Linked DNA regions of Rattus norvegicus. The protein of the gene in region 1 purifies or fractionates together with the protein of each later gene. This does not show direct contact. Links are inferred from orthologs where the notes say so. Each region holds a gene or a part of one and is shown on either strand. Other genes may lie near its edges.

Region 1 (6,557 bases):
CAGCAACCACATGGTGGCTTGCGACCATCTCTAATGAGATCTGATGCCCTCTTCTGGTGTGTCTGAAGACAGCGATGGTGTACTCACATATATAAAATAAATAAATCTTAAAAATTAAAGAAAAAAAAGGGCTGGAGAGATGTCTCAGTGGTTAAGAGCACTGACTGTCACTTACAGGGGTCCTGAGTTCAAATCTCAGCAACGACATAGTGGCTCATGACCATCTATAATGGGATCTGATGCCCTCTTCTGGTGTGTTCACAGTATCTACAGTATGCTCATATACATTTGGAAAAAAATTTAAAAAAAAGAGATGGGCAGTGGTGGTGCACACCTCTAATCCTAGCCCCCAGGGGTCAGAGGCAGGTGCATCTCTGAGCTGACAGAGCAAGTGCCAGGACAGCCAGGGCTACAGAAAGAAGCCCTGCTTAAGAAAAAAGAAATATGGAGTAAAATAAACAGGGAGGGAGGCTGGAGGAGAACAGTGCACTCTGCTCTTGCAGGGGACCTGGATGCAGTCCCCAGCACTCATGGTGGCCCAGTTTTGACTTCTAAGGGCACCAGTCTCATGTGGTACACGTAATACCACATAATGCATGCGGGCAAACTTTTATAGCCATAAAACAAAAAGAAACAAAAAATTAAGTGGGGACAAAAACAAAAAACAAAATAGGGCCAGGGCTGTGTTTAGCTCGGTGTGCAAATGTTCACTTAGCACATGTAGGGCCTTGTGTGCTGAGAGAAAGGGAGGAAGAGCAACCAGCAACCAGCCAGTCAGTCAAACAAACAAACAAACAAATAAACAAACCCAGAGCTAGACAGAGAGAGCCCTTAGAGCCAGCTCTCCAGGGCAAGGAGGAAGACGTGGAAAGGACCTCTGGAGAGTGTGCTCCTGTGACCTGGGGCTTGTGCAATTGCAGTGTCAGGCTGTGTCTGGGGTGGGAGCTGGAGGCTGAAGCACCAGACTTTCTAGAACAGTATAACTGTGCTGAGGGTGTATGTGCGTTTGTAAGCAGAATCCCAATCACATAGTCATCTTAACCTGTGTCCTGGTGTGTGTGTGTGTGTGTGTGTGTGTGTGTGTGTGTGTGTGTGCGCGCGCGCGCACGTGTGTGTGTGCACATGTGTGTGTGCATGTTGTTTGTGTGTGTGGTGTGTGTATGGGGTGTATGTATGTGCATGGTATGTGTGTGTGTATGGTATGTGTGTGTGCAGGGTGTGTATATATGCATGGTGTGTGTGTGTGTGTGCAGGGTGTATGTATGTGCATGGTGTGTGTGTGTGTGTGTGTGTGTGTGTGTATGTGTGTGTGTAGGGTGAAGGTGCCCAGCTGTGTGTGTGGGAGTACTGGGGGATGTTGTGGAGCTGTTTTCTGTCCCCAGAGGGAGAGAGTGAGCTCAGTAAATCACAGTTCCGCCCTGTTCCTGGGTCTCCAGGCAACCGTACCACTTTGAAGTTACTAGGAGACGAGGTTTCCAGGGAAACTCAGGCTTGAATGACAGCTTTAGAGCCAAGTTTGGGTGAAGAGACTGGCTGAGCAATCAGGATCACTCACCTTGGTTCCTCAGTTCTTCCTCCTCCATTCAGTGACTTAACAAGGATCGCACGTCTCCAGTATGGTCATAGACTCTTGTGAATGAAGCCCTTGTTCTCTTATTCTCTCCAATTTCTCTCTCTCTCTCTCTCTCTCTCTCTCTCTCTCTCTCTCTCTCTCTCTCTCCCCCTCCCTCCCTCTCTTCTTCCCTCCCTCCCTCCCTCTCCCTCTCCCTTTTCCTCTACCTCTCCCTCCCCATTCCCAGTCCTGAGAAATGTTCTCTCTTCTGTCAATAAAAGCAAGCATTAAGAAGACCCTAGGGGTTGGGGATTTAGCTCAGTGGTAGAGCGCTTGCCTAGCAAGCGCAAGGCCCTGGGTTCCGTCCCCAGCTCCAAAAAAAAAAAAAAAAAAAAAAAAAAGACCCTAGACCAAAGAGAAAGTTAGATGACAGACCTTGTCAAGAGCCCTCATACAGGGAGCTCGAGAGGGAGCATGGGTCTCGCGCTGCGGCTGTGATGGCCATCGGGTCTGGCACACGCAGCAATGAACAAGACACAGTATTGCAAATGAGATAGAAGGCAAGGACTGACCTCCACACACTCAGGGTGACACAGGCGATCCTGCACACGCCCCCACAAAAAAAGATTAAAAAAAGTAAAACAAAAATCAGGATCAGTGAGATGGCTTAGGGGATTCTGAGCCCTGAAGGTCTGCCATCCAGGGAATATACATGGTGAGGGAGAAAGAACTGAATCCCATCCCGGAACTAGTCCTCAGAGCACATGCACCCTGTGTCATGGGAGTTTCTAGACTGCTTGCTCGGCATGTACAAAACCCTGAATTTCATCCTCAGCCTTGCATGAATTTATCGCGGTGGCATAGGCTAAAATGTCTGGGGCCCTCCTTAAAAAAAAAAAAAAGGCCAAATCTATGAGTCTGTAGCCCGTAAAAACCACCCCCATATTCCAATATGCAGAGACTAGCAGACAGCTATCCCTTTCCACCTGTGAACTTTCCTTCGGTGACCTTAGCAAATCTTCTCACCAACATATTGTAATGATCACATAGAATCACAATATTTATTTTGCAGGTGGGCAAGCTAAGAGTCTGGTTTGTTTTTTTGTTTGTTTTTTTTTCTTTTTTTTGGAGCTGGGGACCGAACCCAGGGCCTTGCGCTTGCTAGGCAAGTGCTCTACCGCTGAACTAAATCCCCAACCCCGAGTCTGATTTTTATTATTAGTGTTTTGTTAAAGATAGGTGCTCATGTAGCTCAGGCTGGTTGCAGACCTCAACATTTGTTGAGGGGACCTACTTTTTTTCTTTTTTAAAAGAGACGGTTTCTGTAGTCTGGTCTTGAACTCAGATCCGCCTGCCTCCACCATTCAAGTGCTAGAATTAAAAGTGCGCCGAGCGGCTTCTACTTTTTTATTTTTAGATTTATTTTTACGTGTGTGTGTGTGTGTGTGTGTGTGTGTGTGTGTGTGTGTGTGTGTGTGTGTGTGTGTGTGTGTTTGTGTGCGCGCGCGCGCACCCGGAGGGCCATTAGAATGTGTGCCACGTGCAGCGGAGGCCAGAAGAGGGCGTCGGATTCCCTCAAACTGTAGTTATGGATGGCTGAGAGTCACCTAGTAGGTAGTGGGAACTGAACGTGGGTCTTTTGGAGAAGCAGCCAGTGCTCGTAACTGAGCCATTCTCTCCAGCTCCGACCGAGAGCCTGAGCGTCTCTGGGGAGCGCATTTGGACCCTCGCTCGACCTTCCTTTTAATGGACCACGCGGCTTCTTGCAGCAGATTCCCTCAAGTACCCATTTCCTCCACTCTCCTTGTTTTGACCATTTGCCGACAGCTCCAGCAACGAACCTAGACAGTGAACTATAGCCAATGAGGCCTCGGTGTGGGCGGGCCCAAGATGAGATCTCGCTTCTGATTGGACAGCGGTACTAAGCAAATGGCGGAGGCGCTGAGGCGGGTACTAAATGCGGGCCGCGCGGCAGGGCCCGGAGAGGATAGCAACCCCGGGCCGCCCTTGCTGTTGCTCGGCGCTCCGCGCTCTGCGCAGACGTCGCTGCTGTTTGCCGCGGCTCTTGAGGCAGCAGGGGAAGGCCGCGGGCCCGTCCTCTTCCTGACGCGAAGGCCTCTTCAGAGCCTGCCTCTCAGTACACCCGCAGCGCGAGACCATTGGCGGCTCCAGGTAACCGGAGGGCTGGACCTGGCTATGCGTCACCCAATGGCGGGCTAGGTTGCTCATGAGTGACAGTTCGGTAGGTAAATGGCAGTGTGGATCGTAGATTTACTGCTAAATCGTCATAAAGTCTATATGGGAGAGGTGGGTGGAAGAAGCGAAGTAGGCACCTGGGACGGGACAGTGCCGGCTTAGTTGAAGATTAAATGAAAGACCGTCCTGCGGTGTTGCTGAGCATGGGTGCCAAGCCAAAAAACAAACAAACAAACAAACAACCCCCCCCCCCAAAAACCACCAACAAAAACATGTGCGAAGCCCTGGGTTCTTTCTATCTCTTTAACCAGACTTAGTAATATATGCCTGGGATTCAGTTCTTAGGAGGTCAGAAGTGTCAGACCAGCCTTGTTCACAAAACGAGTTTGTGATCATCCTGGACTACATAAGATTCTGCATTAAAGAAAATTTTTTTGGGCAGTGATAAGTGCTGGAAAAGGGCGGGTAACAAGGTGAATATTTGAGCTGGTGCTTCATCCTGGAACTTTCCAAATGGACCATGAGAGCCTCGACCAGAAAGTATGGAAGAAGTGAGGTAGCCGTAATAGAGAGTTTTGACCTCCTATATTAAATCTAGCCTTTTCCTATCTTCTAGAAGATTCGATTCCAGTACCCATCCTCAATTCAGGAGCTTCTCCAGCTGCTAGCCTCTGCCCATGAGGCCCCAGCGCCTGTCCCATCCCTTCTACTCCTGGATGGCCTGGAAGAATATTTAGCAGAGGACCCAGGGACACAGGACACCGCCTACTTGGCTGCATTGCTTCTGGATACTGCTGCCTATTTCAGCCACCGGCTTGGAGCCAGTGGCAACTGTGGGCTTGTGGTGGCCCTTGAAACCCAAAAAGAAGCCGATGGTGATGTCCCACATCTGGCATTACTTCAGCGTTATTTTCCTGCACAGTGCCGGCTGCAGCCAGATGCCCTAGGCTTGGGACAGCATTGCTGCCTTCGAGCTAGCCTAGAGACAGGCAAGCTGAGCCCCAGGACAGAGTGGTCAGTGACTTTCTTACCTGGTGGAGAGATGAAGATCACCCCATGGCCTGCCCAGGCTTCTAAGCTCAGCCCAGACCAAAACTGTTCAAGTGCTGGAAGCCAGTCTTTAACTTTGGGGTGTGACAACCTCCCTAGTCCCAGGTTTCCCTTGGATGGAATACTTACCTCAGGGACAGGTGCAGATTCAAAGACCTGAGAATGTAGGTTTCCTGTTTATAAACCAGCATCATTGTTGTTGGGGGCTGGCAAGATGACTTAGGAGGTCAAGGGTCTTGGCCACCAGCGTGATGACTGATTCTCAGGACCCACGTGGTAGAAAGATAGAACGGACTCCTGGAAGTTGTCCTCTCACCTCCACACATGCCCTGCACACTAATAATAATACTAAATTAATAATGAAACCTTTAAGACAAATAAGATCGCTGGAGCCTTCCTCTGTCCACTCACCATTGTTAATGAGATTCAGCCATATTTCCTAGTTCATTTCTTTTTATCTGCTGCATTTTTTACCCAGAATGGCTCTCTCGTAAGTCAGGCTAGTCTCAAACTAGATACGTAGCTGAGGCTGTCCTTGAACTCCTGATCCTCCAGCCTCATCTCTTGAGGGTGGGGCCTATGGTGTATGCTCCTATTCTTGGCTCCTCTTGCACATTCCATGGGTGCCTGTATCCCGGTTACCTCTGTGTGTTGACTTACCGACTGTTAGGGTCTAGTCATACACATGAGCTTACACAGCACTCAGGGTGTGCAGTTGGGAGTGGATTCGTTCCATGTAGAGTATGCATACATCTAGCTTTCTTAGGACATACATTTTTAAAGTCATTTGACGGAAGCTGAGCATCATGGTGTGCAAAATGGTAAGGCCAGCTTTGGGAGGTAGAGGTGGGAGGTCACAAATGCAAGGCTAACCTTGGCTACATAAGGTATTGGAAGCCATGCTGACTTACACTAGATCCTGTCTCCAAAAACCAAAATGGGCCAGGTGTGGTGTGGCACAGGCCTTTAATCCTAGTGCAGAGGCAGGTGGATCTGTGTGTATGTGTTTAAGGCCAGCCTGGTGTATGTGCCAAGTTCCAGGCCAACCAGGGCTACAAGGACAAAAACTAGAGAACTGGAGGGAGAGCTCAGTGGTTAGGAATTCTGTCACCGAGTCAGCTTTGGTTATGCATGTGTCTGAGTCATTTCCCTGAATAATCCCTCACCCATGTTCCTGCATAACTCCAGTAAAACTTTATTGGTTCACCAAATTGGACTTTGGTGGTATGTGTACGTGGGTTTTCTATCTGTCAAGTAGACGTCTGTTCATGTCCCACAGGGGTAGTGTTACCAACCATGGAGAAGGCATTAGGTTTTGGAGCAGCATATATTAGCAGCTAGCGAAATGTACACTGACCATTATAGTCTGTCCTCATATCACCAGATCCAAAATTTCAGTGCTCACTCTTTGTTTCCATGGGCTAGGTCCAGGCAAAGACGGGGTACCCGGAAGGGAGGGTTGTGGTGCAGTCCGCAGTCTTTGTGGCAACCCAAAGGCAGACAGAAGAGACTAACAGAAGCGCACAGGCAGCTGGCCTGAAACAGGAAGTAAGGCAGGAACAAGGTGCTTTCCCTTGAGGTGAGAGGAGAGAATCAACTTCCAGGCATGAACGGAGGCAGACACACAGCCACACTCACATCATATATACACAAATAAGACAAAGTCACAGTAGAAAAATCAATATATATATATTTCTATATACAGACATAACTATCCATCTTAACATTGCAAGGCTGTCACTTCCTGGGCAGAGGGCCA
Region 2 (6,775 bases), on another chromosome or scaffold:
TTTCAGGGTTTAAAGATTACTAGTTCTGAGTTGACTGTGATTCTCCATGATCCTAGGAAACTTTGTGACCCTCAAGATAAGGTAAGGGCTTATGGATGTCAGGTGATAAATGGAGTTTTGGCTGAAGTCTGACTCACAGTAGTAGGTTGAGCCGGTCCCTGAACTCATCCTGTGGTTATTTCTCCAGACTCAGAATGTATGTTTGGTGATATATATATATATATATATATATATATATATATATATATATATCTCCATCCTTAGAAGTTGGTAGAATTCTCACATTGGTTCCCTGATCTGTGAAGTAAGGGCTATTATGGTTGGAAAGGCCAAGGGAAGACTTTAGAGTTGTCTCTACTCCAGGAAAATACTGAATTAAAAAACAGTATTGCCCCCCTGGAGGAATTTCAGAAAGAACTTGAAAGATGCAAGGGTCATAGTTACCACCACATCTCCCTTTAACACTTCTACCTGTCCCATGCAGGAGACAGATAAATCATGGAGAATGATACTTGGATATTGAAATTTCACTCAGGTAGTGACTCTGATTGTAGCTGCATAGATGATGTGCTGTCTTTACCTTGATCAGATGAGCATCTCTCCTGGTACATGGTATGCAGCTATTGCTCTAGCAAATCCTTTTTTTCCTGGTACCTGATTATAAGGACCACCAGAAGGAACTTGCTTTCAGCTGACAAGGCCAACAGTATAGTTACTGTTTTACCTCAAGGATGTATTAACTCTAAAGCCCCCTTAGAAGGAATCCCAATTGTTTTACACAAAATAACACATTTGGCTCACTATACTGAACATTATGCTGATTGAACCAGGTGGGCAGGAGGTAGCAGCCACTCTGGATTTGTCGGTAACACTTATGTGCATCATAGGGTAGGAAAATAAATCGAACCAAAATTCAAGGTTATTAACTGATATCTTAGTGAAATTCTTAGGAATTCAGCGGAGTAGGGCATGTAGAGATATTACTTCTAAGGTGAAGGATAACTTATTATTATTTTTTTTTTTTTTGGTTCTTTTTTTCGGAGCTAGGGACCGAACCCAGGGCCTTGCGCTTCCTAGGTAAGCGCTCTACCACTGAGCTAAATCCCCAGCCCGGAAGGATAACTTATTACTTGGCCCCTCCCACCACCAGGAAAGAGGCACATACACTGTTTAGTGGGCCCGTTTAGATTCTGGACGCAGCACATTCCTCACTTGAGGTCTGATTCCAGCCCATATACAAAGTGACTCAGAAAGCTGCTTTGTGAGTTCAGGCCTTGTGCAGGGCTTGGAACAGAAGGCTTTTCAATGGATACAGGCCACATTGCAGCCTGATCCACAACTGGACCACATGACCCAGCAGAACCAATGGTACTTAAGGTCTCAGTAGCAGATAGGGCTGCTGTTTGGAGCCTTCGTCAGGGTCCCATGAGTGAATCACAGGAGAGAGTATTGAGATTTTGGAGCCAGGCTCTACTGTCATCTGTATGTGACTTGAACTGCCCATCGTGTGCTTACTATTATCTGACCCACCAAGTCTTAAAGTAGAGCATGCACAGCATCAATCTACAGTCAAATGGAAGTGGTATATATGCGACCAGGACCCGAGCAGGTCTGAAGGCACAAGAAGTTACACAAAGAAGTTGCCCAGCACCTATGGTTTCTACTCACATTGCAGTGCCATCTGCTGCCAAACAGATCCAAAACATCCAAAGAACGAATTCATCTTCCAAATTAAAGTAATCTCTGAACCAGCATCTAGAAAGTTAAGAATGTAAGCTCTCTGGCTTTTCCTTAGATCTACAGTATGTGAAATCTACTTCATAACACATCCGCTAAACTCTTTGCTCTTGATATTTATGAATTTGATATTTAAGAATTCCTCATTAGGTAGGGAAGTACTATTCATTTCCCTGGCTTACTTATGTTTTATTACTAATTACAATAATTATTGAATTCTAGTTTATTTGGGGGGTCTTATTTTATGGCCCAGTGTTGCTCTACAAAACACAATTTGAAATAGAACATCTCTAAGGTCTTGCTTAGCTGGGAGAGCGGGTGACCTGTAGATCAAATTCCCAGGCTCCCCAGAGGGAGAGGATGAGCCTACAACAGCAGACCCTACAGCTTGATTCTGTGGAACTCGAGACTGGGCTTTCACAAGGGGCGGGGTGCGGGAAGGGGCGGGGCGCGGGAAGGGGCGGCTCTGGGGGAGGCGCCTTCGGAGGTAAGGGGGCGGGGCTTCCGGAGGGAGGGAATGGCTTCCGGAAGGGGCTGAGAGTGAGAGGGGCGGACGGTGCTTGTTAAACATGTCTGGAACCCGCCGCCCCGGCGTGTCCAAGGTACGACGTGCTGTTGCTTTGGAAGCAGAGGGCCGGCGCGCAACCTCCGTGGGCTTCTCACCCCTGCCCCTAGTCGCGTGAAGGGAGCTGGTGCGCCCAGTCTGATCGGCCCGAGCCCGTTGGTGGCTCGTCGGACTGGGCTGGTTTCTCTGGCTCTGCCCAGGTCTGCGCTGAGTGGTTCTGGAAACCTTCGGAAAGAGTGTGTGAGCTGGCGCCTGGCAGTTCACTTGCCTCCGTTTTATTCTGTTGCTCAACACACTAAGAGTGTAGTGGGTATTGGAGAATCTCTTCTGACTCGCTCTAGGCATCTTTCATTACACTTTGCTTTCCCGCCCAAACTTTCTAAGAGGATGTGTTTCTCCGGTGGCTCCCGCGGTCTCTGTATACTGTAGGCACGGAGTGTAGGAACTGTTACAGGGTGGATGTTTAAGTGATCCTTTTCATTTCTCCGTCATTGTGTGCCTCTTGGATATTTGCCTTTTCAAAGATTCTCACTTACAGATGTTTGCTTCGTAATACTTAAAATTTAGAACAGCAAACGGTGCCTCATACCTTGGCTTGCTCTTTATTTCACTAAATGCTTCAATTCCTTTAGCAGTACCATTCTTTCTTATTTCGCAGATAGCCCTGAAAGACCACACTGCGAACTTTGTGGCTGATTTAGGGAGTTAAAGCACGTATAACTTAAAAGACTAATTATTTCAGAAAGACTAAAATGTGAAAAAAAAAACCCAAGGAATTAAAACATTTCTAAATCTAACATAAATTAATTATTGCAGCCCTCGATACCCTTGCCACCAGTATACATTTATTTAAGCGTCCCTAAAGTCCTAATTCACCTTCATAGATGCTTATTTAATTTTCCTTACTGCCCAGCTCCAAATTTTGACTGTGCTTTTTGTCAACTTTAAGAACTTGCCCTGGAGTCTTTTACATTGATTTTAGCTGTCACAACTGTATAAACAATGTATTATGAAATTATTTGTTTAGTTTACCAGGCCCTAACGATTTTTCCTAACTTAGAAATCTGTTGTTTTTATTTCTTTCTGCCCTCTTCATTTTATTATTTTTCAATAGTTTTTCTTTTCAGTAGTTGTGCTACTTAATTGTTATGTAAAGATTGCTTCAAAAGTGAAGCAGCTTTCAACAAGTATGGCTATCAAGATTCTGAGTGTAGCTTAACCTTATGGTTGTTTCCCAGAGTCTTCTCCCAAGTTCACTGAGGTGGGGGTTGGTAAGTTTCAGTTTGTAATTTCCGTAGGGTGTCTCACAACTTTGTCAACAGCAAGTGAATCAGGCTCATATAACACAGGCTGGCTCCGAATTCACTGTTTAGTGACCTAGAACTCATCATTATGGATCTACATTTCAATTACTGGGATTACAAGTAGCATATGCCACCACACCTGGTTTTCATTTAATTAATTAGCTAGTATCTAATTAATTATCTAATTAATTTGCTGTTGGTGGAGGGAACAGGGCTTATGGCAGATTTGGAAATTAGTATGTAGATGAGGCTGTCCTGAGACCTGCAGTGTTCATCCTACCTCTACCTTCCCATTGCTGGGATTCTAAATGCCAGCCACCACATCAAGCTTCATTTAATCCTTTTCTCAATCCTTTGAAGAAGATATTTTTTTGTCTCATTTTATGGATGATGAAAGTGACTCCTAGCAGGAGGTTAAGTGATTTGCCCAATATACACAGCAGTCAAGTAAAAAGAAATTAGGATTTTATGCTCAGGTCGTCTCTCAGATCTTGCTTTGTGTTCATGCTATCTTTCACACTTTCCAAAGTTTATAGCTCTTGTTATTTATCCTCAGGTAAGTTAGACTTGTTGTTATTGTTCTTTTTGACTTGGTGTTTGCTCATATTCTTGATTTGAAATAATCCCCCTCCTCCCCCACTTCTGCTTATTGCAGGTAGCAAAGCCTGCCTTTTCCCTCTCATTCTCAGGCGCTTTCTTTTGTATACCGACGGAATTTTGTGTGTTTCATTCTTAACAGTTTCATGACTAGATTTGGGATTATTTGTGTCTATGCTTTTGATTCCGTAGAATAAATACAATTAGGAATGATGTCTCCAATTTATGCTGCTTAGAGCAACCGCCATTACCAGTAAATATCTGATGAACTTGCAAGTGTTCTAGTGTGAAGAAATGTGGAGAAATACCCTGATTAGAAATTTTGAATATCAGCTTCAGTTCTTCAACTTCCTGGTCATAGAGGTCTTGACAAGATATTATTAACCTAAATAACAGCCAGAGAGATATTTCTAAACTAATGATACTCTTGTGAGATGTGCATCCTACAGTAAAATGTGAGCACATTTAAAGAGTAAGGATAGACTTTTAAAGATTATATATAAGAGCAATAAGGAACATGACCTTTTTTTGATGGCACCTTCTGACTTAGGATTACTATTGTTGTGATGAAACACCGTGACCAAAAGCAACTTTGGGAGGAAAGGTTTATATGGAAATATCACAGTGCATCATCAAAAGAAGTCAGGACAGGAACTTAAGCAGGGCAGGAGCTTAGAGGCAGGATCTGACCCAGAGGCCATGGAGGAGTGCTGCTTACTGACTTGCTCCTCACGGCATGCTCAGCCTACTCTCATAAAAACCAGGACCAACAGCCTAGGAGTCTCACCTTGCACAATTGGCTGGGCCTTCCCCCTCTAATCACTAATTAAGAAAATGCCAGACAGGTTTGCCTACAGCCTGATCTTATGTAGGCTTTTTTCTTAATTGAGGTTCCTTCTCGGATATCCATAGCTTGTATGAAGTTGACATAAAACTGGCCAGGCCGTCTCCAACACCACTTCCAGTTCTCATCAGCAGATCTTTTTGATAAGTGCCTCTTGCTCGATGGCTATCACTTGGTAGACATTATTTACATAGTGTGAACTTTCATTTGAACTGAAGTATGGCTTTTGATTTTCAAGAAGGCAGAAGAGAAGGAGCTATCAGAAAGTTAAGAGTCTCTCACTGTTCTAGAAGGATTGAGTTCTATTAGAATAGGGTTAATTTTAGACAATAGGAGCATAGGGAAGAAAGAAAGCTGTTTAGATAGAAGTTTGGTGGATCTTTATAATGGCTGTAGGATGGCATCTCCATCCCTCTACTTGATGTCCTGTCTTTCTAGTGGAGGTGGACTCTACAAGTTCTCTCTCCCCACTGTTTGGCATTTCATCTAAGGTTCCCTAGCTGAGTCCTGAGTGTCTCTCACCAATCAGGTCTCTGGTACATTCTAGAGGGTCCCACCACCTCCTACCTTCTGAAGTTGCCTGTTTGCATTCAGGGCTTCACTTCTGTTCCCCCACCCCCCAGTACCTGATCATGTTCCCCTTCTCCCCTCCCTGTCCCTTTTCCTCCCCAGGTCCTTCCCTCCTCTGCCCCACATGATTGCTTTCTTTCCCCTCCCAAGTGGGATTGACCATCTTCACTTGGGCCCTTTGGCTTGTTAATCTTTAGTTCTGGGGATTGTATCCTGGGTATTCTGTGAGGTTTTGGTTAATATCCACTTATTAGTGAGTACATACCATGGATGTCCTTTTGGGTCTGAGTAATTTCATTCAAGATGATATTTTCTAGTTCCATACATTTGCCTGCAAAACTTATGGTGCCCTCATTCTTAATAGCTAAATAGTATTCTATTGTGTAAATGAACCACATTTTCTGTATCCATTCTTCAGTTGAGGGACATCTGGGTTGTTTCCAGCTTCTGGCTATCACAAATAAGGCCGCTATGAACATAGTGGAACATGTGCCCCTGTGGCATGGTGGGGCATCTTCTGGGTTTATGCCGAAGAGTGGTATAGCTGAGTTTTCAGATAGATGTATTTCCAATTTTCTGAGGAACCTCCAGACTGATTTCTAGAGTGGTTATACCAGTTTGCAGTCCCACCAGTAATGGAGGAATGTTTCTTTTTCTCTACATCCTTGCCAACATGTGCTGTCACCTGAGTTTTTGATCTTAGCCATCATGATTGGTGTAAGGTAGAATCTCAGGGTCGTTTTAATTTGTATTTTCCTGATCACTAAGGACTTTGAGCAAGTGCTTCTTGTCCATTTGAGATCCTTCTGTTGTGAATTCTCTGTTTAGCTCTATAGCCCATTTTCGACTAGGTGTTTTGTTACTTTGGAGGTTAGCATCTTGAGTTCTTTACATATTTTGGATATTAGCCCTCTATCGGATGTGGGGTTAGTGAAGATTTTCTTCTCAATCTATAGAGGTAGGTTGCTGATTTGTCCTATTGACTATGTCTTTTGCCTTATAGAAGCTTTTCAGTTTCATGAGGTTCTATTTATCAATTCTTGATATTAGGGCCTGAGCCATTGGAGTTCTACTTAGAACCCCCCGCCCCATGAGTTTGAGGCTCTTTCCCACTTTCTCTTCTATTAGATAGAGTCAATGTATCAGGATTTATGTTGA

Evidence for each region.
Region 2: the proteins of Swsap1 (region 1) and Spidr purify together in Homo sapiens (co-immunoprecipitation; 3 studies listed by BioGRID and IntAct, with this or other methods). This does not show direct contact. The link is inferred for Rattus norvegicus from reciprocal best matches to the Homo sapiens genes SWSAP1 and SPIDR.

Annotation. Positions count from the first base shown.
Region 1 is NC_086026.1:28,759,276-28,765,832, forward strand, and holds Swsap1 (ATPase SWSAP1), read left to right. Parts: upstream 1-3,477; 5' UTR 3,478-3,779; coding exon 3,780-3,794; intron 3,795-4,364; coding exon 4,365-4,958; 3' UTR 4,959-6,006; downstream 6,007-6,557. UniProt on the Homo sapiens protein: ATPase which is preferentially stimulated by single-stranded DNA and is involved in homologous recombination repair (HRR). Has a DNA-binding activity which is independent of its ATPase activity.
Region 2 is NC_086029.1:98,507,226-98,514,000, reverse strand, and holds the start of Spidr (DNA repair-scaffolding protein), read left to right. Parts: upstream 1-2,271; 5' UTR 2,272-2,306; coding exon 2,307-2,339; intron 2,340-2,383; exon of another isoform or gene 2,384-2,538; intron 2,539-6,775. UniProt on the Homo sapiens protein: Plays a role in DNA double-strand break (DBS) repair via homologous recombination (HR).